Kluyveromyces lactis: one gene and its partners. The main gene of each other region encodes a partner of the protein of the gene in region 2 in a complex. Links are inferred from orthologs where the notes say so. Each region holds a gene or a part of one and is shown on either strand. Other genes may lie near its edges. The genes, in order: NDC1, NUP49, ASM4, GLE1, POM34, NUP82 and NIC96.

Region 1 (3,637 bases), on a different chromosome or scaffold from region 2:
AGCGTTTCCGAACCCTCTTAACGATCTTTTCAACGCATCTGTCACTGCAGATTTCTTGGCACGCTCGAAAGCGCTGGCTTTCCTCCGTTCATTTTCCACGGTTCCATACCCAATATCCTCTCTGAACGTTCCATCGGCTAACGAAACACGAACAATAGCGGTGCATCCAATACTAAATCGACCTTGCCTTTCGTCAAGGAAATCTATAGTGACATTTTTAACCTCCGTAGACCATCCGTCATACCCAAAAATCTGGTTTGCTAGATTGATTGCTTTCCAGCCTTCGATATATGCTACTCTACTGGATCCAAATCCTACTCTCTTTGAAATATATTCTGGTCCTAGCTTCTTATCTAACTTCGTTTGAATGTCATCTTTACCATTCTTGCCACTTCCTGTATCCTCCATATCTAACAAACTGCAAAAAGGAAAATTGATGCGAGTCGCACTAATATACCAATCCACAAAATCTTCTACCAGTTAAAGACACAAGCAAGGTGGTATCCTGTCCAATTCAACAGCGCAAAATCGTTAACTGTTTGACCTAGTTTGTTTAAGTTTTAGTTTATCAATACAGTAAATTTGAAAAAAGTAAACAGAGCAGTAGCTTAAATCACGTAAACTTGAAAAAGATCTGTTTCTATCGGTATTAAAAGACGCGAGAGCCATGTAAATTGAAAGGAGTTTTGAAAGGATGGCAATGAAACTTAACATTATCATTATAGGATTGGCAGTACCTGTGCTGTCATAGAAGTACTTACATTGGTCATGAAAGTGGCGACGCAAATCATTCTAATATTTTCAGTACTCTATGAGTGACCTTGTATATATTTGTATATATCTTTTGGACAAGAATATCAACTTTTAAGCGTTAAAGTTGACACGAGACCATTGTTACAAGAAAGAGAAAGAGAATATGACACATATTTAGTTGATTTACTTATTTACATGTAACAACTGTTTACGATATCATCAGGTTCGCGTTTAGCGTCTATATGTTGAGACTGACCTCACTGACAAGGAGGTGATTGTCTTTAGTTTCGAGTTACCATGCAAATCAACTATGACATTGGCATAAGAGGGTTACCCGAATATCTAATTTTTTTATGACGCCTGATCTCTAGATCACAACCTGTTAAGAACTTAAAATGCTTGAGATGATATACAAATAAATAATATAAGTAACTCGGAAGGTAATTGATTGTCCTAAAGTCCAATTGACCTTTGTCTGTTTTAAGCATCTAAAATTACTCAGCTTATTGCTATACAGGCTGTACTTTTACCTGTGTTCATCTTTGATTGGTTTGTTTTCATTGATGTCTTACGTGCAGAGTTTAGGACCGGTTGCACCGCAACTGCGTGATTCTCGTTTTACTTACCATCGGATATTCAGTGGGGTATGCAAGAGCAGGTTTAATAATTTCGCCAGGGGTTTACTCTTCAAAACAGCGGTACTTGTCGGTTTAATTACAACCATTACGACACAATGGGAGTTGTCGAAATCTCAGAAATTACTGTTATGGCCAGTAAAAATATTATCTTTCTATGTTGCAATGTTGATGCTAATTATTACCAGGAAAAACTATCTTCATGTCAATTACCTTGGATATACGAGCTGGATAAGCGCATCATATGGCCAATTAGTCTCCCGTAAATGGATCACGTACCTTTTAGTTTACGTTGTGAGCGCATTCTTCCTTTCTTTGACATTTTCCTGTTGCTTTTTCACTCCAGGTACTGGTTCAAGAAAGCATTCACAGCATTACGAATTTTGTTGTCAGTTTATGGTACCTTTTTTGTATTCCATCCAACATGTACTTTTAGATCTTGACAGACTTACTTTCAACTACGGTGCTCAACATCAACATCCTCAGAAGTTTATGGCTTCAAGAATCCATGATTCATTTTTGAAGTGTCTTGTGTTAACTGCAATACTCTTTCTAATTACTCCAATTCTATTAAAGCTTTTATTCGGACATCTAGGCTCTGGTATATGGTCCCATATTAGGATTTGTTGTATATGCTTGTTAATCTTGCAAACATGGGACTTTACAAACATTGGCTTCGACGCCTTTCTATCAATTGGTTGCTTGCATAAAGGTAAACCAATCTCTTCGTTATCTCCAGCTTCAATGGAGACATTGATCACTGGGTTGAGATCAGAAAAATTATTTGTTAAACTTACTGCATTCCAAGAGCTGGCCTACAGAGCCACTTGTGCAAATGTGGAGTTGAGGCTCCCAATTTACCACAATACCTATAGAAATAGCTTGATCTGGCCCGGTATACTTAGAGAATGTATGATTGTTATTCAAGAAACCAACTATAACGTATCCGATTTCTTGCTTACATTGAAGAAAGAGATTGATCCCCAGCCTACAAAACCATCTTTCCCTATCAATAGATCGGTAGATCATTTATTCGGTACCAACCATACTGTCAGAAAACAAAATAATGATGAGGATTCCAGATTACCTGGTGCTCCTCCTACTGAACAAATAAATTCGGATCTACCATCAATGGCTTCACATAGAATCGTTTTAGAGGACAGCAATGTTTTCAAAAACAACGATACCCAAAGAAGTCCGAATCCTCCGAGATTTATCGACTCATACAAACAAGCAATTTTTACCAGACAACCTACAGTACTTTCTGTTTTGACTGATCTTTGGAATTGGATACAGAGAAGAATCAGTCAGTACTTTTTCACCATCGATTCAACTGATAACACGAACAAGAAGCTCTCATTGTTTGAACTTTACCATATATCAAAAGTAAGGGAAGCTGAGAAGTTGTGTCCTGTGCCAGTATGCTATGCCGAGTGTGTGTATTCGATGATGGGTTTTATAGTAAATTCTGTGGATGAAGATCCCAAAGGAGCTGTCGTATCTTCAGTCGGCGAAGTATTAAAAATTTTGGAAAGATCTATTGGCTCTTTAGGTTCGTTTACTGAATTAATATTGGATGGAAAACAAGAAAAGGATTTGAATGATGTCATAAGTGTGTTGTATGACTTATGTATCAATGCATTTTTGGAAATAGTTTTGAAGTATGACACTCTCCTTAACGATGTTTATTTGGACGAAGATGTCGTGAAGTTAACACAGTGGTTGCAAAAAATGTCACAAGATATTTAAACATAGCTTGGCATCAATTGGATTATTCCCAACAGAAGCATGTTACTCTAATAATATTCAAAAGTTATATTGCTTTCATTATAAAAGAGAAGAAATCTACCCCAAACTTCTGGTATGTTATAGGAAGATGTTACATGTACTGAACAAGCGAGCGGAGAATACTTGCTTCTTATTCCAGAAGTCGGAATTATTCATGAAATGTTTTTATTTTCCATTAACCTTCACTAGATCATAATGACCATTGAGGTTAGTATTTGAGTTACAGCAGAACTTTTGTTATAACAAACTTATTTTAGCATTACGTATGAATAAAATACAAACCAAAGCATACAAACGTTATCTTCATTTTTACAAAAAGGTCATTACGTATTTAAAAAGACTTTTTCCATCGGTTTATCAATTCATCGATCCGCACTAGCTTTTCGTGCACAATTAACGTTTCTCGCCAACCGTAAGTCTTATAAATTTAATAGCAACGTCTGTAGTATCTGCTCAAGAAG
Region 2 (3,028 bases):
TTAATCAAAAAAAAAATCTCCTAGCTCCTTGATTTTACGCCTGAAGCTTGATCTACAATAAGTTTATACTGACAGAATTAATACTAAAATGTCACACTTAATATGTCTCTGATATTCCAATAATGATAGTTAGTTGCCAGCAACGTTCTAAAATTCTTATCAGTCCTATATATATTTCTTGAGTATAATCACAAAACCAGGACGCCTTTCCTTTGTTCTTTGTTTCACATTTTCGTTTCCGGGAAAACTGTTACTCCTTGTTAACCATTTTTTAATCCTTATTCCTTTTATATTTGTCGTATCAAATTCCCTTTTTTCACAACTCATTGACCTAAATAAGGAAGGGAAGATAAAGGGAGCCTGAGAAGAGAAGACTGCGAAGAGACAAGTGGCAGATGCGGTGCAGGTGCAGTGCATGTGCAGGAGTTAGTGATCTGCATCAATAGGTAATATGTTCTTGAACGCTTTCTTTTTTTATAGTATTAAAAGAATAATATCGACTATTTAACTATTATTTCTTTACACTTCTGATGCAGTTCTGCTATTCTTTCAGCTGTATCCATGAATAGTTTGAACTCTTCGATTAGAACGCTGACGATAATGTTAACACCGACCTTGGTATCATCATCTTCGGATGAATCGTTCCCAAAGAGATCATTCTCTAGACCTGACACTGCGTCGTCAATATTGCTTAGAGTGTCGTTGTAGTCATTTAATTTGTGTTTGTATGTGATTAATTTTTCCTGGAAGAACTTATCTATCTCAACGTTTGATATTTTGAATCCCTTACTGACTAGTTGTTGCAACATTATAGCAAAATTTTCCAATTGTTTAACATCTTTATCCACTAGTGTCTTGATGGCATCGATTCGTTTCAAATCTGATGATAGTGATCTTGTTGCGTTGAAATGCAATTTTTGTAGATACTTGATGTCACGAGGGATTGAATCCAATAGTTCAGTTTGATCTTGTAGATCAGCTTCAAGATGTTTGGATAAAGACACTTGCGTTCTAATGAATTGGTCCAATTGTTCGATTTCTTGACGAATTTGAATCGGAAGCTCCGATATCTTGGTCATCGGCGTGATAGCTAATTGGTTAATGAAATTAATGGCACTCTGTTGAGTCTGTTGTATCTGTTGTTGTGGTGGCTGTTGAAATTGATTTTGTGTTTGTCCAAACATTCCTAAACCAGATTGTTGGGATTGCTGTTGTTGATTTCCGAATGGGCCTCCGGTAGTTGGTTTGGATCCAAACAATCCTCCACCAGTTGCAGAGCCTCCGAAACCGGTAGTCTGTGGTTGTGCTGGTTTGGATCCAAATAATCCTCCTCCAGTTCCAGAGCTTCCAAAACCAGTGGTCTGTGGTTGTGCTGACTTATTCCCGAATAAGCCTCCGCCAGACCCGGCTCCTGAGTTACCAAATAGGCCACCTGTGGAGCCAGTGGCTGTATTATTAGAACTTCCGAAAAGTCCTCCTGCGGTTTGGTTCGTATTGTTGTTGGTGCCTGCTGGATTACTGCCAAATAATCCTCCGCCAGTCTGTGTCGCTGTATTGTTATTGTTTCCAAATAACCCTCCTCCAGTGTTACCTGATGTGGCATTGTTATTACCAAAAAGACCACCGCTAGTGCTTTGCTGGTTGCCCGTATTCCCAAATAATCCTCCTCCTGTGCTTGGTCCTACTGGAGGACCTGTAGAAGAAGAACGGCCAAACATTTCGTTTCTATCAGTAATAAGAGTATTAGATATTTACACGCCGTAAATTCAGTTAATTCAACTTACTGTTCAGTATCAATTGGTGTCTCAATTCTGCTCTCTCCATCTTTCTTTTTAACCTCATCTGTTTACTTTCTCAGTTTCCATATTCAAAATGTTTTCAACTCTTCCATCAAAGAGTATAAAACAAGAAAAAAAAGCTTGAACTTATGGATCCGGGTAACCCATAAACCTCGTCTCAAAAAATTTTGCCACCACCAAGAAAAATATTCCGATTGAACATTGGAAAGAATTACCAAATTACCTTAACGATTATGTTACTAAACAGTAGCTTTGGTTAATGTACTTTCAGGGTCTTTCATCCATATCAGGGTATATTATAACAATTCACTAAAAGTGGTTACTCATTGTTCGGCAACGTATACTACTGGTACTATCCAATCCCAGTTGTTGTTGATCTTTTCTATTGTTGGAGGAAAAAAGTCAGTAAAGCAAACCTCAGAAAGTGTTCAATTAATTACGGTTTGTGGCTTAACTAAAAATGGGTATTCCAAAATTCTTTCATTTCATCTCTGAGAGATGGCCTCAAATTTCTCAATTGATCGATGGATCACAGATTCCAGAGTTCGACAATTTGTACTTGGATATGAATTCTATTTTGCATAATTGTACGCATGGTGATGGTAGCGAGGTGAATTCAAGACTATCAGAGGAAGAAGTTTATTCCAAAATTTTCAGTTATATTGATCATCTTTTCCATACTATTAAACCAAAACAGACATTTTATATGGCAATCGATGGTGTGGCCCCAAGAGCAAAGATGAACCAACAAAGAGCTCGTAGATTCAGAACTGCCATGGATGCCGAAAAGGCTTTGCAGAAGGCCATTGAAAATGGTGACGAGTTGCCTAAGGGAGAGCCATTTGATTCCAACGCTATTACCCCAGGAACAGAATTTATGGCAAAATTAACCGAGAATTTGAAATATTTCATCCATGACAAGATCACCAACGATACCAGATGGCAGAACGTGAAGGTTATTTTCTCCGGGCATGAGGTTCCTGGTGAAGGTGAACATAAGATCATGGATTACATCAGAGCAATTAGAGCACAAGAGGATTACAATCCAAATACAAGACATTGTATCTACGGGTTAGATGCTGATTTGATCATCCTAGGTTTATCCACCCATGATCACCACTTTTGTTTATTAAGAGAAGAAGTTACTTTTGGTAAACGTTCGTCTTCTGTGAAAACTCTAGAAACACAGAACTTCTTCTTGTTGCATTTGTCTATCTTGAGAGAATATT
Region 3 (2,984 bases), about 1.4 Mb from region 2:
TCGCTATTCTCATCTTCAAAGTGGTAATACACCTTCCGCTCCCTCCACGCCACTTCTAATACCATCTCAACAACCTCATTTCGATCATTCCATGTTGGCCAATGCATCTAGAAATCATAATATAAGTGAGAGAAGAAACTCTCATAGTCCTATTAAACAACACTTTGCAAATAGGTTACTAAACTATCCGGATGAAACAAATGATAGCATACCCGATGTGTCTGATGACAGATTCAGAATGGATGATCGTTTCAGAAGAGGCAGACAAGGCTATTTCAATCGATCTCCCGACATCAATTCTGGTACGTTACATTACGATGATGGTGATGATGATGATAACCGTATATCAAAGTCTCCCTTTCGGAATTCATCGTCTTCACCATTTCGGTAGTTATTCACTCAAATACTCACATTCATTGAAGTTTGGTGCACTGGAATTTCTTGAGGTATCCGTAAATTATATAAACATAATACATCTCTAATTACTAAAGACAATGAGACTATAGGTCGTTCCACCCGAATAACCAATTGTTGACCCTTCCAATTAAATTTGTTGGTTGTTGGTTATTCCCATGCTGTTCCTGTTCTCGTAACTTGTTCTCCAAATTTCTTAAAAAGTTTGGACCACCATGAGGAGGGTTTGCATTATGCACAAACAACTGCTTTCCATCTTTGACATCCAATTTCCGAGTAGAAAAGGTGAACCCATGTTTATTATTATCAGCACTTTCTTGTGTCCCATTTTGTATATCAGATGATTCAGGTCCGTTTGGTTTCATCGATAAACTGAACGGGATTTCTCCGATGTCATCAGTTTTATCGATTTTGCACGAAGCCAATTGTTCTACGGCTGTTTTGCTATAAGGAACGCAGCCAATTAAACAACCTCCATAAACGGTACCATTCTCTTGTAGAGCTCTCAGAGCGGCACTAGGGGAGTCATACGTGATTTTAATCCATCCATCGCCCGTGAAGATAGGATATTTCTTATGAGGAATTTTAGAGTCCTTATTTTGAGCACGAATTCTAATAGTAGCACTGGATATGTTGTTACCTGTAACACCTCTTAGAACCTCAAGGTCCTCTAAAATATTTCCGAATTTTGAGAAATGTAATATTATTTGGTTTGAAATGGATTCTGGATATCCAAATACAATTACTGCGCTCTCTTGCGATTTTTGTCTTGATATATCATTTGTTTGATCCGCTGTCGGTTTTACAGGGGATTTCGACGCATCTCTGTCGAATGCGTTTCTTGTGCTCTTAGTGTATTCTTGAGTCAAAGGTATTTGGTTAGACGAAGGCATTGCGTTCACGTTAGTGGGGACAGACCCGAACTCATCCTCTCGTTGCCAATCATATAACGATTTTGTTGGGGGAGCTTCATTCGATTCCACATAAGTCGCGATATCAGTAGGTTGTGCAGGCTGCGTAGAGCTGAATGTTGGCTTCTTTGTGCCAAACTGGACGCTATTGAATCCGGATCTTTGGGAAGAGTTGTCATTCGAAGATCCATCTCCAGATGAGCTCGGTTTAGACGATCTTTTTATCACGGATTGTGGAATGTTTCTCTTTCTAGCTATATTATACCAGTTTTCTTCCTTTCCATTCGTGGCAGAGCTCTGTACTAGTGATTGTGAACTATTCTGCTGTTGTTGGTTTTGCTGCTGCTGCTGAGGATAATTTATTTGCAAGTTTGCAAACCTGTTCTCTTGTTGCGCTTGTTGGCCAAATACTGAACTCATGATTTAGGATTGTCAGTTCGCTTTCTCAACAATGTTTCAACAGTCAAAAATGATCAATTTATCCTACTTGAAATTGAAGAACACACCAAACCACAGTGTTACCGGTGCATATGAACATGCTACGATGATAACAGCTATTCTCATCTAATCTTATTCTTGATGTTTATTAGTTGAAATTGTTTTATTTCAATTAGAATACTCAAATCCGGGTAATGTTTGCCATTATGAACAGCTTCAGTGTATGTGTAAATTTATACATTCACGATCGATAAGATTTACCTCTATATACTGCTTTTTGATGTCTCCTTGTTTGCGGGAGATATGTGTGAAGATCTGTCCCTTGTTCGTGCAATCTCTTTTTTACCATGTCAAGTTCTTTACGCATAGTTACGTATCCTAGATGGAGTTTGCCCATGAAATGGTCAGCGAGTCTTCTATCCGTGTCTAATCTTGAAAGGTAGGCTCCACATACACGGCATACCTGTAGCTTCTGTTGTGCACTTTGGCCTGTGTTTTCGTTCATTTGCCTGCATTTTTCGCTGAGTGTGTCCCTTTCTGTTTGCAGTTTGTTATATTTACAGCTTTGAATCATCGCCTTCATAACTTCTTCGTTTTGTATAAGCATATCGATTTCTGAAAGCATTAAAGCACATTTGGATTCAAGCTGATTCACTGCTTGTAGAAGTGCTGCTAATTTCGAATGTTCCTCATGATGCTGTAACTTTTTATGTGCCATTTCAATTTGAACATCACAATCACTAAGAATCTTCTTCAAGATGGAGTAATGCTCAAGGTCAAACTCAGGATATTTCTTGCCCTTCTTTACATCTCTTTCATATTGCATTTTATGCGAGACTGAATGTATACGTGGACAATGCCCCATGGGCTGCTTGGTCTCTTGGAAAAGGTCATAGGGGCAATGACCAATGATAAATGATTTGCACGTTGATGGTGAAGTTAGCCCATGCGATGTGGCAGCCGAAGACATAAGCTGAGAAATCAGCTTGCGCTGTTCTAAAATTGCAGACATTTCTCACTTACAAATATCTCTGATGGAAGTAACACCAAACTGTTGCGTGCAGTTTGGACTCTGTGATTAACTTTTTCTGCTCTGTTGGTCAGTTCAACAATGATACTTCTTCAGTACGCCTTTTCAAGTAGCTTGTTGAAAATGCCAGGTTTAAATTCTGACGACAAAATATACTGAAAATAAATATATAATAACACAAGCAAAACATG
Region 4 (3,291 bases), on a different chromosome or scaffold from region 2:
TAGGAATTCCTAACTCTGCTGATCCACGACCGAAACCAGCTATTACATCGACGAACGATGTGGTAATTGGAAAAGGAGGTTCAGGTGAATCCGGTATCGAAACGTCACAATGCCTTGTCATTGCTCTAGGTCTTACTGCGAGTTTTTGATGATCCGATCGTTATTCGTTTGTATGATAACCACATGGAAGTATTCACAAGATTCAAACTACGTTTTTAAAGGTTCGAACTCTTTGAGTATAAAGACTGTTGCAAGTAAGAATAAGAAAGAAAAGGGTAAATGGGCACGTGAAAATGGGTTCATGGTTTGTTCAACAGTTGCGGAGTATTTCTAGGCAATGAGGTACGCTCTCTCTCTGGAAATATTTGAATCCTCATTATTAAAGTTTTATGAGAACATAAGGCATATACTATGCCCTGAACACATGATGAAAACGAAGATCTGAAGGTATACATACATATATATATATATATATATTTTACTAGAGAAAACTCTAGCCGTTATGCTGCCATATCTGGGAATGATGATATTTGATTTGTATTATGCCATTCCTCGTTAATAATGCGGAGTCTTGCTGCACCAACGAATTTTTTGTCAGCAACAAGTGCAGTTAAATCAATCGAAATAACTTCAAGTAGTTTTGTTGCCTGAACGTTGTATGCTTGGAGCAATTGTGCTGCCGCAGCCTCCCACCAGTAGGCAAGAACGACGAAGTGTGTATTTGTAAGTAGATCCTTTGGAGTGTTGCCGATTCTAGCTAGCATTCTCCATGACCAAGAGATTGGGAAAGGATGCACAAGTTTCTGAATGTACGTTTGCGGTAGAGGTAATCTTGTGATGACAGCAAACAAGGTAATCATACCACCCATCCTTTCATCATATGAAATATCTTCTTCCCATCTGTTGTCACTTTGACGTTTCCATCCCATTCTGGTTCTTCCTTCGACTGTGTCTATGCTGCACGTGTAACCGATAACAAACGGACATTTCTTGATGAGTCTCGCCAGTAAGAACTCTTTGAGTTCCGGGTATGATGCAAGAAGACTTAGCGCAAGTGTTCCTAAAGGCAAAGCGCTTTCAGGTTTCACTCTGGCCTCAGATTCTGCTTGGGAAACAATCGCCTTAGCTATAAAGTTTAGAATCCATTTATAGGCTAATTGGTTAGCCTTCGTTTGAAGTACCAGTTCGGTAAGTTCATTGGTGATTGCATTCAATTGTGCAGTACTGTTGGTTAATTGTCCGAATTTTGGATTAATTTTCCTCTTATGTTGTGCTAAAGTTTTCTTCAAGGTGGGATCCGCCTTCACCGGTTCAATTATTTCTGTTTTAATTGTCTGAATCATGGTTTTGTATTTAGTAAAAGTTTCTTCGATTAACTTGAAATTTGTAGATTCTTTGGACTGTTTAAGTTTATTCCTCTCCAGTTGTTCTTGTTCTTGCTTCTTTTTCAGGGCTTCTACTCTCTTCGCTTCTTCAGCTTTCTTCTCCTTTTCTGCCATTTCTTGAATCTTCCGTTTCTCTTCCTCCTTCAACTTCTTTTCCATCTCCTTTTTATGCTTCAATTCTTCTTGTCTGCGCTTCTCCGCTTCGCATTCTTTCTGGATACGTGCTTCCTCTTCCCTCTTCTTTTTATCCTTTATGCTTTTAATTAAACGTTGATTCACCTTTTCAATTGAATCAATTTCCTCATTCCACACAGATTCAAGCACCTGGTCTTGCATAGGAAAGGTGTGTTGTTCCACCTCGTCAATCAAATCCTTCTTCTCTTGGTAATAAAGTTCTGCTTCGTCAATAAGAACAGGGCCTAAAGCTTTATTCTCGTGACCTCTCGTTGTAAGATGCGGTAGTGCATTCCTTTCAAGAGTGATATTTAAGTTGGAAAGCATTGAAACTATTTCTGGTTCTACCACATCCTCTAAAGAAATTGTATCTCCTGAACTAAACCCTTGCTCTTCACCTTGGCCGTCATTCTTTGAAGAATGGTATAATTTCGGTAGTTTTAACTGGATCCCATCAGATGGATCGCCAATATACGTAAACTCCCCGTCTAATTCATAGTCAGAATCACTGCTGCTGGTATTCTGACTCTGTTTCCGTTCAGCATTCTCGTACAATTCGTCAAATGAGAACCTCATCTCAATTGTCCTGATATGTGTCAATCGCTTTCTTTACTTTATCAAATCGGTAAAAAGCTCAATTCAAGTAAACGATTCGGGGTTAAGTTCGACTGTTATTACCTAAATGGAGAATCCAGCTACGTGTCTTTAAGTACGGGATCAAAAAAAAACGGCTGCAATGCATCAACACAAGGGCTGAAAGGTCAACACTCTCTATAATCATCAACTGAGCTCTACCTGGTTTTTAATCAAATTTCACTTTTTGTTGATTCTTGTCACGTGACGTATATTGAATTCTCTGTACTTGAAAGTTTTAAAAATTTTTCGACCTTTCGAGCTAAAGCTGTAAGATAATGATAGAGATTTGATCAGTTTCACTCGATTTAAAGCAGTATTCCTTCCCATTCGTAGGTTTATACATTCATTCGTTCGCATCTGTGAGAAGATACCAAGTGATAATGCAAGTGGTACGTGGTTTCCACAGTAGTTCAAAGGTCTCCAAAGCTGCTTGTGCTTTGGTTAAGCCAGTGCATCATTTGGTTAAGATCGACAAGAGCAAGCTATCCCCAAGGTTTCCTGAATTGAAATATAGTAAAAACGATATTAGATCTCCAGCATTCAAGCCTGTTGTTACACATCAAGACCGTGTTCGTGAGCATTATTATAATACTTTACAAAGCGATTTATTATTGATAAATTATTCCCACAAAAGCCAAACGAAGCTCGGGTTGAAGCAAAGAGAATGGGACGGTTCTTCTCCATATCACATTAACAGAGAACCCAGAAAACCTAAGGGCTCAAGTGCTCAATTGCCAGATATTCATCCAGTAACGTGGAAGAACATTCCAGACATCGAGTCCGTTGTTATTAACTGTTACGTCAGAGATGCAAAAGAGAACCAATATCTACCAATTTCAGCAGCATTACAATTGCAACAAATTACCGGGTGTAAACCAAAGGCTTTGTTCTCTAGGAATGATGTTCCGGCCTGGAAGGTCAGAAGAGGTACCCAAATGGGTGCTGTCATTACATTGAAAGGTCGTCCAATGTCTCAGTTCTTATCCACTTTGACTGAAATTGTACTACCAAGAATCAGAGAATACAAAGGTATCTCCAACAAGTCAGGTAACAGATTTGGTGGGTTATCATTTGGTATGACCAGCGATGAAGTCAG
Region 5 (2,845 bases), about 650 kb from region 2:
TCGTCATCTTCCTCTCCAACCATGTCAACGTCAACGACATCACTATCAGTATCGTTATTACTAACAGCAGCCGTATTCTTCGACAGCGGACTCTTCTCAACAGGCGCACTTGCAACAGCCGCTACAGTTGAGCTATGCTTGTTCGCCGCATTTTTCTTTTTCAGATGCATCTTGGCTGTAGAATTGGATAACGTAGTATGAATTTCTGATTGTCTTGAATGAGTCGCAGCAACCCCTGGACGTCCACTCTTCTTTGCACTTAGCGTATTCTTGCTCTTACTTTTCTCCGAGCTTGACCCACTAGAACCTTTATTACTATTGTTACTTGACGATGAATTCCTACCCTTCTGTTTCCTAGAGCTATCCGAATCGCTTGAACCACACAATAAAGATGCAATGAATCCCATCACTTTTATTCCTAACAAAATCAACAGCGACCTATAAATAAATCGAGACACTGAGCGAGTGAGAGAAACCAAAAATCACACACTGAGCCCAAAAAAAATGGATAACCGATATTAATCAGATTGGTTTTTCAAACGGATTGATACTGTTATTAATATATGTTCTTTCTTTCTATCTAAGCAAAGAAAGATAGCAAACAAAAAAAACCTAAATACACAAACCAATCAGGCTCCCTGAAACCACTGGCCCCTTGATATAGTACCCGTACACTGACAAATCCCGGTACTTTTCAAGACTTTACTGCCCTTCTGTAAATGGCCTCCAAAAAAAATTAAGTTGCAGTTAAAATAAGAGAGTTAGTCAATGACCAATGTTCTATTCTCAAAATTGTTTAATCTGCAAAAGTTGACTGTTTCTGGTTTTTCCATGCTGAACAGAACATCAAAACTTAAAGAACGAACCAAACGAAGCAAAAAGAATTTTTTCTTTTCCCTGGCACAAGATGGTGCGGGTAACGAGATGTTTTTCACTTGAAAGAGATAGAGGCCGGCTTGAAGATTCACTTCTTAGTTTAACTACTAAAAACACAGCTAGTTCTTCAATGTTAATAAATAAGAATCGTTCAGTTTTTACCTGGATACGGTAAGTTTCATATCCTGATATTAGTGGTGTTTTTACTGTGGTAATTGATCGAGAGTTTACCCCGTAAATACAGGGATCAAGATATATAAAGGAAAAAGGTGAGAGTAGCAATGGATAATGGAATTTCTGCGCCTGGCACACCGGCCAAGACTTTTCAGACTCCCAATAGGCCTTTGAGCCAGCAGCAATTTCAATCCTTAAGGGAAAAAGCTATCAAACAGTCGCCTGCATTGTATAAACACAAGGTATTGAGTGATCCTACCAGCAAGACTGATGTTTCCAAGTCAGATTCTTCCTCTGTGTTTGCTGCATCTGCGTTCTCTGGCAGATTTGACGCGAAACCTTCAGCATCAACTAATACACATACCGCATCCCCTGTTTTTCGAGGAAAAAGTAACCAGGCATATTCTACACAGCAAGATACCGCACCAGTGACAAATTCTGATCTGCTACCGGACGAACCGGTGGGACAGAAACAACAAACGGATTTGAACTTTTCCGAAGATTCCGCATATGATAAATTGACTGATTTCGAAAACCCGGCGTTGGCTGCTTTCACATCTCGTATGGTTAATAAAGAGTTGGAGATGAGAAGGTTGTTGACTAATGTAGTGTTGGCAATGATTTGGAATCTCATATACAAATTCGTGTCATTATTCTTCCAATTCACTAAAAGGGGATCCCAACTTCGAGACGAACTGTATCTTTTCGTATTGAAAAACGTTGTTTATAAGATTAACCCACATGCCAACATCAATTCATTTTGGTTCCAAATGCTTTCTTGGCAATTTGCAACCAGTATATTCCATACTATTGTCATTTTTAACATTGCATCGTGTCTTTGGAACTTGCTGATAAAAGCACAAAATACGGACATATCAGATTTGCATCTAACCGAGAATCAAAAACGCTTGTTAGGGGTTGTGGAAAGCACCCCCGACTATGGTAGATCCTTTGATCCTTCAATTAATATAGGTAACTCTAAAGTGAAATCCTTAAATGAAGCAGAATCAAAATCCAGCCACAAGCCTTTCATATTCAAATCTTTACAGACTCCAATGAAAATGCGTGAGTTGAATACCCTTCAGCAAGCAGAAGTGAAAAAAAATCATGTATCTTTCTCTTTACAACCGAAGAAAGTAAACGCCTTTGGTGTCGATCACATAACAAATGTCTCCAATACTCCTACAACTTTATTCACATCGACACGCTCACAGCCAGACACTCGTCCCGGATATATTCCAAGCAACCGGTATACTTATATGATGGACTCACCAAGTGCGATGAAGAAGCGCTGAAAAGCATGCGTACTTCGGAGAACGATTCTTTTTCTTCTTCTTTTGGTTTCGAACCTCTGATAGCAGTTATGATAAGAATGTTATTACTTACATGGCTACCTACCGCGTATAGTTTATAAAGTTTATAGAAGAGAAATTTACAGCGTTACCAATGGTTTGGGAATAGAAACTTTAGCTTGGCCAAGGCATCTTGAGACATGGCTTCAGGTTTTGTTGAAATGGAGTACTTCATGGCATCCTTTAGACCATCACCGTTGTTCATAAATTCAGGAAGTTGCTTTGCCATTTCTAAAATGACCCGGGATGCCAAATGGTTAGCATTTTTGGCATTGTTCTGTAAATTACGGATAACAGTTTGTACAGACACTGGTTCTTCTTCGTCTCTCCATGCATCATAATCGGTAGACATACAAACCATCTGGTATAGAATTTCACATTCACGAGCCAATTTCGCTTCAGGGATCACACTCATGTTGATGACATCTCCACCCATCAGACGG
Region 6 (3,980 bases), about 1.9 Mb from region 2:
CTACAGAATCAGATATTTCACAATGTTTAGTGCCTATCGCTCGGATTTTCTTCCAAATATGTGGTGTATCTATTATAATCCTTCTTTTCATGAAATACGCCTTGAATAAAAGCACCAATATGTTAAACAAACTACTGAGTGTTATAAAATTCGTCTTGTTGCTCCAAACTTCATCTGCAAATATCCCATTGTTTCTAATATTTGAAATACTGACTAGCGTCACACCGGACATCACACCAATTTTCTCATTATGTCTACAAAACCTCACTTTTTTCCAATTTGGTGGTACGAACTCCATTGCAACTGTCAATCTAACTAATGCATACAATGGTGTTAGTAGCAACTATAACATATACGTTGTTGGTGTATTAATGTTCTTGTCTAACTACGCACCATCCATCTACTGGGCTCTCTCACTAATTCCTCAAAGCTACAAACAGAAGACACTACGCTTGCAGCATTACTATATCACCGGAACATGTCTAATGATAGCGTGCATTGCACTAAGGTACCACCTATTCATTTGGTCCGTGTTTAGCCCGAAACTATGCTACTACGCGGCCTGGTCCCTCTATAATGTCGTCATGGATTTCGCCATTACCCTGCTTGGCGTTTTGTGAATTCTTAGTTTTTGAATGAAAAATTTCGATAAAATCAACATTTTGTACCATAGAAATTCAAATTGGACTGTAAATGATCATGAACTTTGATAGCCGCAAGGCAGGACAAACTTGCCAAAACTTATTGTTGAGGTTCGAATTGGTATCGGCAACCACATACCCACCATAACAAATCGGTTATTTTTCATATTATATAAAGAGAGAAATGTTGAGAGTGACTCGCGTGCTATTTAACCAAGTGAAAAGCGAGGCATCTGGCCAAGCTGCCAAGATCGTGTCATCATGTCCAGCTGGCACTCCATTGAACTTACAAATCAAGAAATCCGGTAAGGAACCCGTGGCATTAGAAGACAGCGAATACCCTGAATGGCTCTGGACAGTGCTTGATGCCAACGTCCAAGCTGAAAAACTAGCAGCTGATCCAATCAAGCTAAGAAAAAAACAATTAAGGATAGCCAACCGTGCCAACATCAAACAAAATAACTTCTTAGCAAAGATTTAACGGACCCACAGTATGATTCACGCCTGTAAATATATATACATATAAAAATGACATAAAGACACATATCTAACATAACTTTTTGATATCTTTCGTACACTTCCTTTTCTGCAATACTGGATCTGCTATAGGTATTTTTTTTTTTTTACTATTAAAGTTCAAAATATTCAAAATATATCGACGATGAACTACTCTCACGCTTCTTGAAATACACGTAACACAGATCAACTGGCGATCTAACTGTGGTACCTTCTCTTCCATAACTTTAACTGCCGGATATTGAACCAATATAGTGGGATGTTACTCTTCAATACAGAAGATTTGAAGGCAATCTTCCAGGAAGTGTCTCTGAACCCTTCCGACCGTCTTGTCTGCAACAATTCCAACACTATTTATTTATGGCAGGACAACATCTTAAGAGTGCAATCAGACCACGAAACGCAATACAGGAGTTATAATGTGGAGCTTCCATTCGTTCCAGAACAAATGGTCATCAGTCCGTCGGGGGGCCTTGTAGCATTTCATGCGAACAGCGAGCTCTATGTCATGGAAGTGAATGAGCAATCTAGATTAAGAAAGCATTTCAATACCAGTCTAGGGATAAAAAAACTATTATGGCATCCTCTGGCTACTTATGGGTTATCTTTCGTTATTTTGCATGATGATAGTACAATTCGAATTTATGATCTTGAAGACCTAGAACCCGAATCTATCACTGTTTTCAATCGTAAATCGAGATCATTTGGGTTATCAGACCATGTGGAATCAGTTTGTGACATTGCATTTGATCCAACCGGTTTGACACTTTATCTGCTGAGCTCCTTCAATTACTGTGACATATATGCTATCCATCCGTGTCTACCAAAGAATTTTTCCCTACGCAGTAATGATACATCAAATGTCACATCAAGGACGAAAAATGGTTCTTTAGCGGATTACATGTTGCACAAATCATTGTCTTTATACAATAGCCTCGATAAACAGCTAAAGCTGATATCAGGTTCAGATCCTGATGTGGAATCCGATTACCTCACCTTAAAGCATGATCTATTGAAACAAATTCAATTTTTCGACAACTATAAAAAAAATGATGGTATAGACACATTCACGAGCAAAGCAATCAGGAACTCTGTACCACAGGGCCCGTTCATTATAAAAAAATTTCCGACAGCTTTGAATGCGAAAGAGGTCACAGGCTTGACAATCATACCGGTTGGAGAACGTTTGGGCCTTTTGAATCTTCAATTTATAGATGGAACAAACGTTGTGTTGTTCTCCGATTCTGAAATTGTCATGAGTTGGAGTTTACGCTCCAATACTACATTCAATAACCTTAGTGTAATAACAATGTTCAATGCAAAAGGTCAATGCCAACTACTAAACTCCTCGGAACCTAAATTAGTATTTACTGGTGATAGCTCCACGACTATCATGGAAATGCCATGGTTGGAACCATTGGCACAGTGCATAAGGCTTCATGACTTCTCTATCATTGATGATGTTAAGTTTGAAAATAAAATAAGAACAGTTTCAGGAACTTTCCTCGGTGTTTTATCTACCTTGTCTGGTGATATTCTTTACAACGGCAATTCCTTCAAGGTCATCGAGAGTAACGACAAGAGCACCACACAGAAACCCATAAACAGAACCGATGAAGTGAAATATACATATAAACCATCGTTGCCAACGTCTGGAAAGGAATTGGATATGCTTTTGACGAAGTATAAAACAGAAGCCAATGGATTCATTTCAGGCATACCGGACTCTTTGGCTCCTCTCCCTTTGAAGAACAATTCCAATGAACGTCAATTGGAAGTGGTTTCTGAACTTTACAAGGAAACCATGAAGCGCGTCAAGTTGGGACAGATGATTTTATTTAGAATGTTCAACAAATCCAACGAAGAAGTGGCTGAACTCCATCGCCAATTAAGAAAAACCAACGAGATCGAAATGTTGAGAAATAAACTTAACGGAAACTTGGGAGACCTCCAAGAAAGATATTCCAGGTATGAGGAAAAGTCCAAGACGTTGGAAAAACGACTTGACAAGTTAAAAGAGACATTCTCCAGTATAGAAAATAACGAGAAATTAAGAACAAGCAGTATCAGCGAGGCCGAACTAGTGTGGTTCAAAAGTATCAAAAACCAGGTATTAAAGTTCAATAACTATGTACATCTGACAAACAAACTTCGCGAAGAACTAGAGTTTTTGGACACACAGCTTAGATCAACTACTAAAGGAGACGATTTCTTTTCCGAGCTAGAATTTAGTTCCCTACAACAAATGTTACTGAACGACAAAAAGGTCATCAATTCTTGTATGAATGAGTTAAGCGCATCCATTGAAGATCTAGCGGTATAATAGCAATCACCATCTACATATCTTTTTTTTTTCGTTTTTAGTTTTAAAACTGGCATATACCTTACTATATTATGTGCTACTTTTTATATCATTTCATTATGTGAATATGCTACTAACCGAATTTTGTTTTAACGTGTGAATGGCGCTCAAAAATCGGTGACTCTTCCGTTGAAAGAATAATCACCATGCCTTAATGGATCCTGCTTTGGTCCACCAATTTCTCCTGTTTTAGGATTCTTTTCGCCTTCGAACTCTGGTATAGTCTTCATAAATTCTGGAGAAAACCCACCAATATCGTTCTTCAAGATTGGCGATTTCACCGATTCCATAGTATGATCCGATTCAAACTGTGCATTATAAGAATCAATAGCTTCTTGAGAAGACGCTAGCTTCTGCAGCCTTTCAAACTCTTCCTGGTCTTCCTTTGGTAATGGTGGTGGACCTGCTCTTCTTTCTTGAAATGTTCTAATTTGATTCAACCTGACAAAGGCTGGTCTTAG
Region 7 (4,126 bases), on a different chromosome or scaffold from region 2:
TTCTTGTACATTTCGTTGCATCTTCTACTCACTACAACAATGCACTGCTGAAAAGGTAATTGGCAGTTCAAATGTATATATATACATATGCATATATAATCTATCAGGCAATTATATCGAATAACAATCGACTTACACATGGTTATTTTATTGTATGCTATTATGGTAGGACGTCTGGGTTCTGACATAACTCAGGTGCTCATAAATGAGAGCTCTGCTACAAACCAACTTCTATATTGATTAATATGCTGTAAGTTTCTCTTGGCATTTTGTATTGAATCATACCAGCATAAATCATACAATTTTTAGCAACACGTTTGAGAGAATCGATTTGCTGCTTTTTAGTCAAAGATTGGTAATCACTTTCGTTCAACTGCTTTATGATGTTAGAAATGCATAGCATTGTAATTATCAACAGGTTAGGTATGTTCTTTAATATATTCTCATCCAAATGTGTAAATTCTTGTGCTCTTTTTCTGGTCGAGCTTTCATCCGTGAACGGAATTAAATCGAGATCTTCAATCTGTTGTAGGGTGTTTTGCCATTGGCGTGCTAGGAATGATGCTCTTATATCAGCTAGTTTCAACAAGACAATACATGTTTCTTTGTTTCTTGCCTGAACCTTTTTAGAGATTTCGATGTTGTTGATGTACACTTCGATTAACTTCTTTGCCATTAAGACGTAATTCGTTTCGCTGTTGTCATTCAACCTAAAGAGGGATTGATTGAGGTCAGTGCTACTTAGAAGTTCTCCCAATAACTTGTTGATAATGGACATAACAATGTCATATTCTTCTGATAACTGGTACAACAACAAACTATCATGAATTCTTCTTTCTTCATCAGCCCTACGAGCAGCCTGTTCGGTAATCTTATACAAAAAGTCCTTCTGGTCCTCAAGCTGTAATAATGGGCGTCTTTCTTCAACTACACCGGGGATCCTAATTCCTTCAGAGTTGATCTTTCCGAGAAGTATGGTGAACTCTTTAGTTTCCAAGATCAATTCCCTGAGTGCCTCATACGCCCATTCAATCTGCTCTTTCTCATTCACTAGTGCGATGAGAATTAGATATTCGACAGCTATTCTTGGATCAGAGTACTTGAACGACTTTGTGTAATTTCCTAATACCTTAACAAAGTTTATCCTTGTTTGGCCATCATTCACGGAGATCAACTCATCCTTTTTATAAGATGACACATGTAACATGCCATTTGCCGCTAGACCAATTGCCAAGTGAACAGCATCGATTTCATTTATTTTGTATGAGTACTGTACTGCTAGTTCATATTGTCCGCTTAACAAAAGGGCCTGTAGATAATAGTTTTTAAACATGTACTCACCGTAAGAGACAACAGTATGTTGGAAATCGCTGAGGGTATACCTTTCATATACTGGATCATCCATATCCATATCATCTTTGATTAACATCAAGTGAATCCATAACCAATCTTCCACGCTTAGAGTAATAGAAGAGATATTCTTCCTTGTCAAATCACATCTGCCAATAATTTTGTAGACCGCCAAACGGAACGGATCGCTGTCCAAAGTGTTTTTGATATGCTGGTTATATTCTGTATGCAACCTTGAGACAAATTCCTGTGGAAGACGATGATCAGGAGACGTTACATAAGCTTTGAAGTATGTTAGGAAAGATTGCTCCACTTTTTTGAAACTCAATTTGTTGTTAACAACTACTTCTAGCGCGTCCTGCGGTAAACCAGCCCTTAGCAAATAAAAAATCAAGGCCCATACGGGAATTCCATTCACAATCGTAAGATTGTTAAATTTCCAAGTATTTTCACCAGTCTTCAGTTTGAGGTCAATAAATGCTCTAATTTTGTTAACATTGGTCGGTAAACCTTCGCTTGGATTCTTTGAATACAAATTGTCAACATAGCTCAAGAACTGGTTTTCTAGGTATTTTTTGGAAAACTCAACAATATTTGGGGATTGATTTGTTGCATTATCTATAATCTCCCAACCGTCAAGTAGCTGTCTATACTTCGAGTCGGTCGTATTCTGAAAGATGGCAATGAACTCTTTGGTTAATTGAAAATCGTCATTATGTGATTGTCTTGAATTGTTAAACCTGTAAATAATTTTGGCATATTTCTCAAACTTTTCTCTAAGGATGTGATTTCCATTGACATTTGAATTTAAATCACCATCCAAGATACCACTACCAGGTGGTTTCCCCCAAAATATTGGACCGTTGGGATCCAAAGGAGCCAAATTAGTCGTATCGTAGTTAGAACTATCCTGACGTTTCTTGACTAGGATCCCAAAGCTTTCTCTTACTTCATCTTTCCTTTGCTTCCAATCTAGGTTGAAGTTCTGATTAATGAAATTATCAAAATCCTTCGCTGCTAAAGACAATGATTGTTCAATGGAGGAAAGGATATTCTCATCCTTCTTAATATGTAAATAAGTGTCCAAATCACCATCGTTATAGCCTTGTGCAACCCGTTGTTCGGTTAACAACTCTGATGACTTAAGATTCTTCAAGGAACTCTCAATTTCGTGAAATTCAAGTCCACTTCCTGCTAAGAGATAATGAGCTTTTGTATGATTGGAATCGTGAGGAATTGTCTTACGCATCTCCTGTGCCCTCTTTTTCATCTCATTGACACTCAATAAGATAGCTCCAAGGTCAGATGAAGTAGAAGGTAAGTTCTTTGACGTTTCTAAAAGCTCATTGAATAATTTCGATGAGCTCTTAGACGTGGAGCCACTAGTCTTTGCATCGTTTTGAAATGCAGATAGCATTGTATCACTGCTGATTTGACTGTTGATATTCATAGTTCCACGATTGTGTGGATTTTACAATTCCAAAATCTGAACGGGTTAAAGATAATTTGATGCGATGGATAGCAACAATGTGTATTGATTTTCAAAGTATCTTCAATGAATTATTTCCATCATCTATTCAACGTATTGATAGTTTACATTTTCTTTTATTGTTTTCTGTCTAATTTTTTTTAACTACAATGTTTTGCACCGTTACCCGAACATGTGACGGGACAAAAAAATGGACAGCCAGAAATTGATCATGACAGTAATTAATATTAAAACATAAGTATGTATGTATTAACTCAAGAGAAAATAAGTTAATTATATATTGTAATCTGGAATTGATGATTGCCAGAATCTTTTGATTCCTGTGGTCAGTTTTTGTAGAATAGAAAATGTTGTTTTGGTTACCATTGAAATGTAGGTTTTACTTCGTTTAGTTCAAAAAAAGAGTTGAATGAAATGAAAAATTGATTGTGGTCGTTATACGTTGATGATGCTGTGCGAAGGACAAAGCTTAATCGCAGTACATGTTGACATATTCATCAACAGTTAAGTTTAAGAAACCGTCATCTGTACTTGCTTCCATTAAAGCTTCCACCTTTTCAATATCGCCGGCGAAATGTTCACGCAAATGGTGGTAGAATTTCTGCATCAATAGTGGGACACCTTCCTTTCTTCTTAGTCTGTGACCGATTGGATATTCTACGACCACTTCATCTAAGACAGTCCCATCATTCAATTCTACTAACAAAGCGTTTGGGATTGATCTCTTTGATGGATCATGATAATCCAAAGTGAATTGGTCATCTTTAGTACAATACATCTTAGCTCTCAATTCGTCAATTTCAGGGTTGCTTGCTACTTCATCACTGTAATCGTCAGCCGTTAGTCTACCGTAAATTAATGGAATAGCAGTCATGTATTGAATACAATGATCTCTGTCAGCATAATTGTACAATGGACCCTCCTTGTCAATAATTCTCACAGCGGCTTCTTGAGTTCTAATTCTGACCTTTTTAATGTCTTTGTAAGTTTTGCCCAACTCTGCCAACTGTTTATTCACCTTAATAGCTGCTTCCACTGCCGTTTGAGCATGGAATTCTGCTGGGAACGATATCTTGAAAAGAACGTTTTCCATCACATAAGAACCGAAAGTGTCCCTTTGCTGGAAGGTGAATGGTTTACCTTTGAAAAGAACGTCATAAAAACCCCATGTCTTAGCGGTTAGTACGGAAGGAATTGTACCTGGACTTCCATTCTTCACCAAATATGCAATGTTGACAGCTCTTGCCACTGCGTCACCGGCAGCCCAAGATTTCCTGGAACCAGTAT

What was found.
Region 1: NUP49 (region 2) and NDC1 share a complex: the UniProt entries of both Saccharomyces cerevisiae proteins name them as parts of the nuclear pore complex. The link is inferred for Kluyveromyces lactis from reciprocal best matches to the Saccharomyces cerevisiae genes NUP49 and NDC1.
Region 3: NUP49 (region 2) and ASM4 share a complex: the UniProt entries of both Saccharomyces cerevisiae proteins name them as parts of the nuclear pore complex. The link is inferred for Kluyveromyces lactis from reciprocal best matches to the Saccharomyces cerevisiae genes NUP49 and ASM4.
Region 4: NUP49 (region 2) and GLE1 share a complex: the UniProt entries of both Saccharomyces cerevisiae proteins name them as parts of the nuclear pore complex. The link is inferred for Kluyveromyces lactis from reciprocal best matches to the Saccharomyces cerevisiae genes NUP49 and GLE1.
Region 5: NUP49 (region 2) and POM34 share a complex: the UniProt entries of both Saccharomyces cerevisiae proteins name them as parts of the nuclear pore complex. The link is inferred for Kluyveromyces lactis from reciprocal best matches to the Saccharomyces cerevisiae genes NUP49 and POM34.
Region 6: NUP49 (region 2) and NUP82 share a complex: the UniProt entries of both Saccharomyces cerevisiae proteins name them as parts of the nuclear pore complex. The link is inferred for Kluyveromyces lactis from reciprocal best matches to the Saccharomyces cerevisiae genes NUP49 and NUP82.
Region 7: NUP49 (region 2) and NIC96 share a complex: the UniProt entries of both Saccharomyces cerevisiae proteins name them as parts of the nuclear pore complex. The link is inferred for Kluyveromyces lactis from reciprocal best matches to the Saccharomyces cerevisiae genes NUP49 and NIC96.

Annotation. Positions count from the first base shown.
Region 1 is NC_006038.1:139,184-142,820, reverse strand, and holds NDC1 (Ndc1p), read left to right. Parts: upstream 1-1,316; coding exon 1,317-3,137; downstream 3,138-3,637. Other genes in the region: recombinase RAD52, read right to left, coding at 1-408. UniProt on the Saccharomyces cerevisiae protein: Functions as a component of the nuclear pore complex (NPC) and the spindle pole body (SPB), probably by playing a key role in de novo assembly and insertion of both structures in the nuclear envelope.
Region 2 is NC_006042.1:2,088,976-2,092,003, forward strand, and holds NUP49 (FG-nucleoporin NUP49), read right to left. Parts: upstream 1,719-3,028; coding exon 501-1,718; downstream 1-500. Other genes in the region: chromatin-binding exonuclease XRN1, read left to right, coding at 2,260-3,028. UniProt on the Saccharomyces cerevisiae protein: Functions as a component of the nuclear pore complex (NPC).
Region 3 is NC_006042.1:687,782-690,765, forward strand, and holds ASM4 (FG-nucleoporin ASM4), read right to left. Parts: upstream 1,746-2,984; coding exon 501-1,745; downstream 1-500. Other genes in the region: NUR1 (Nur1p), read left to right, coding at 1-391; LUC7 (Luc7p), read right to left, coding at 2,005-2,775. UniProt on the Saccharomyces cerevisiae protein: Functions as a component of the nuclear pore complex (NPC).
Region 4 is NC_006039.1:1,325,351-1,328,641, forward strand, and holds GLE1 (nucleoporin GLE1), read right to left. Parts: upstream 2,136-3,291; coding exon 501-2,135; downstream 1-500. Other genes in the region: FMN1 (riboflavin kinase), read right to left, coding at 1-121; MRPL7 (mitochondrial 54S ribosomal protein uL5m), read left to right, coding at 2,576-3,291. UniProt on the Saccharomyces cerevisiae protein: Functions as a component of the nuclear pore complex (NPC).
Region 5 is NC_006042.1:1,442,398-1,445,242, forward strand, and holds POM34 (Pom34p), read left to right. Parts: upstream 1-1,157; coding exon 1,158-2,345; downstream 2,346-2,845. Other genes in the region: PSR1 (phosphatase), read right to left, coding at 1-407; MEU1 (S-methyl-5-thioadenosine phosphorylase), read right to left, coding at 2,491-2,845. UniProt on the Saccharomyces cerevisiae protein: Functions as a component of the nuclear pore complex (NPC).
Region 6 is NC_006042.1:156,109-160,088, reverse strand, and holds NUP82 (linker nucleoporin NUP82), read left to right. Parts: upstream 1-1,416; coding exon 1,417-3,480; downstream 3,481-3,980. Other genes in the region: mannose-ethanolamine phosphotransferase LAS21, read left to right, coding at 1-620; MRPL37 (mitochondrial 54S ribosomal protein mL54), read left to right, coding at 826-1,122; SDH8 (Sdh8p), read right to left, coding at 3,627-3,980. UniProt on the Saccharomyces cerevisiae protein: Functions as a component of the nuclear pore complex (NPC).
Region 7 is NC_006041.1:1,253,996-1,258,121, forward strand, and holds NIC96 (linker nucleoporin NIC96), read right to left. Parts: upstream 2,801-4,126; coding exon 218-2,800; downstream 1-217. Other genes in the region: PDH1 (putative 2-methylcitrate dehydratase), read right to left, coding at 3,309-4,126. UniProt on the Saccharomyces cerevisiae protein: Functions as a component of the nuclear pore complex (NPC).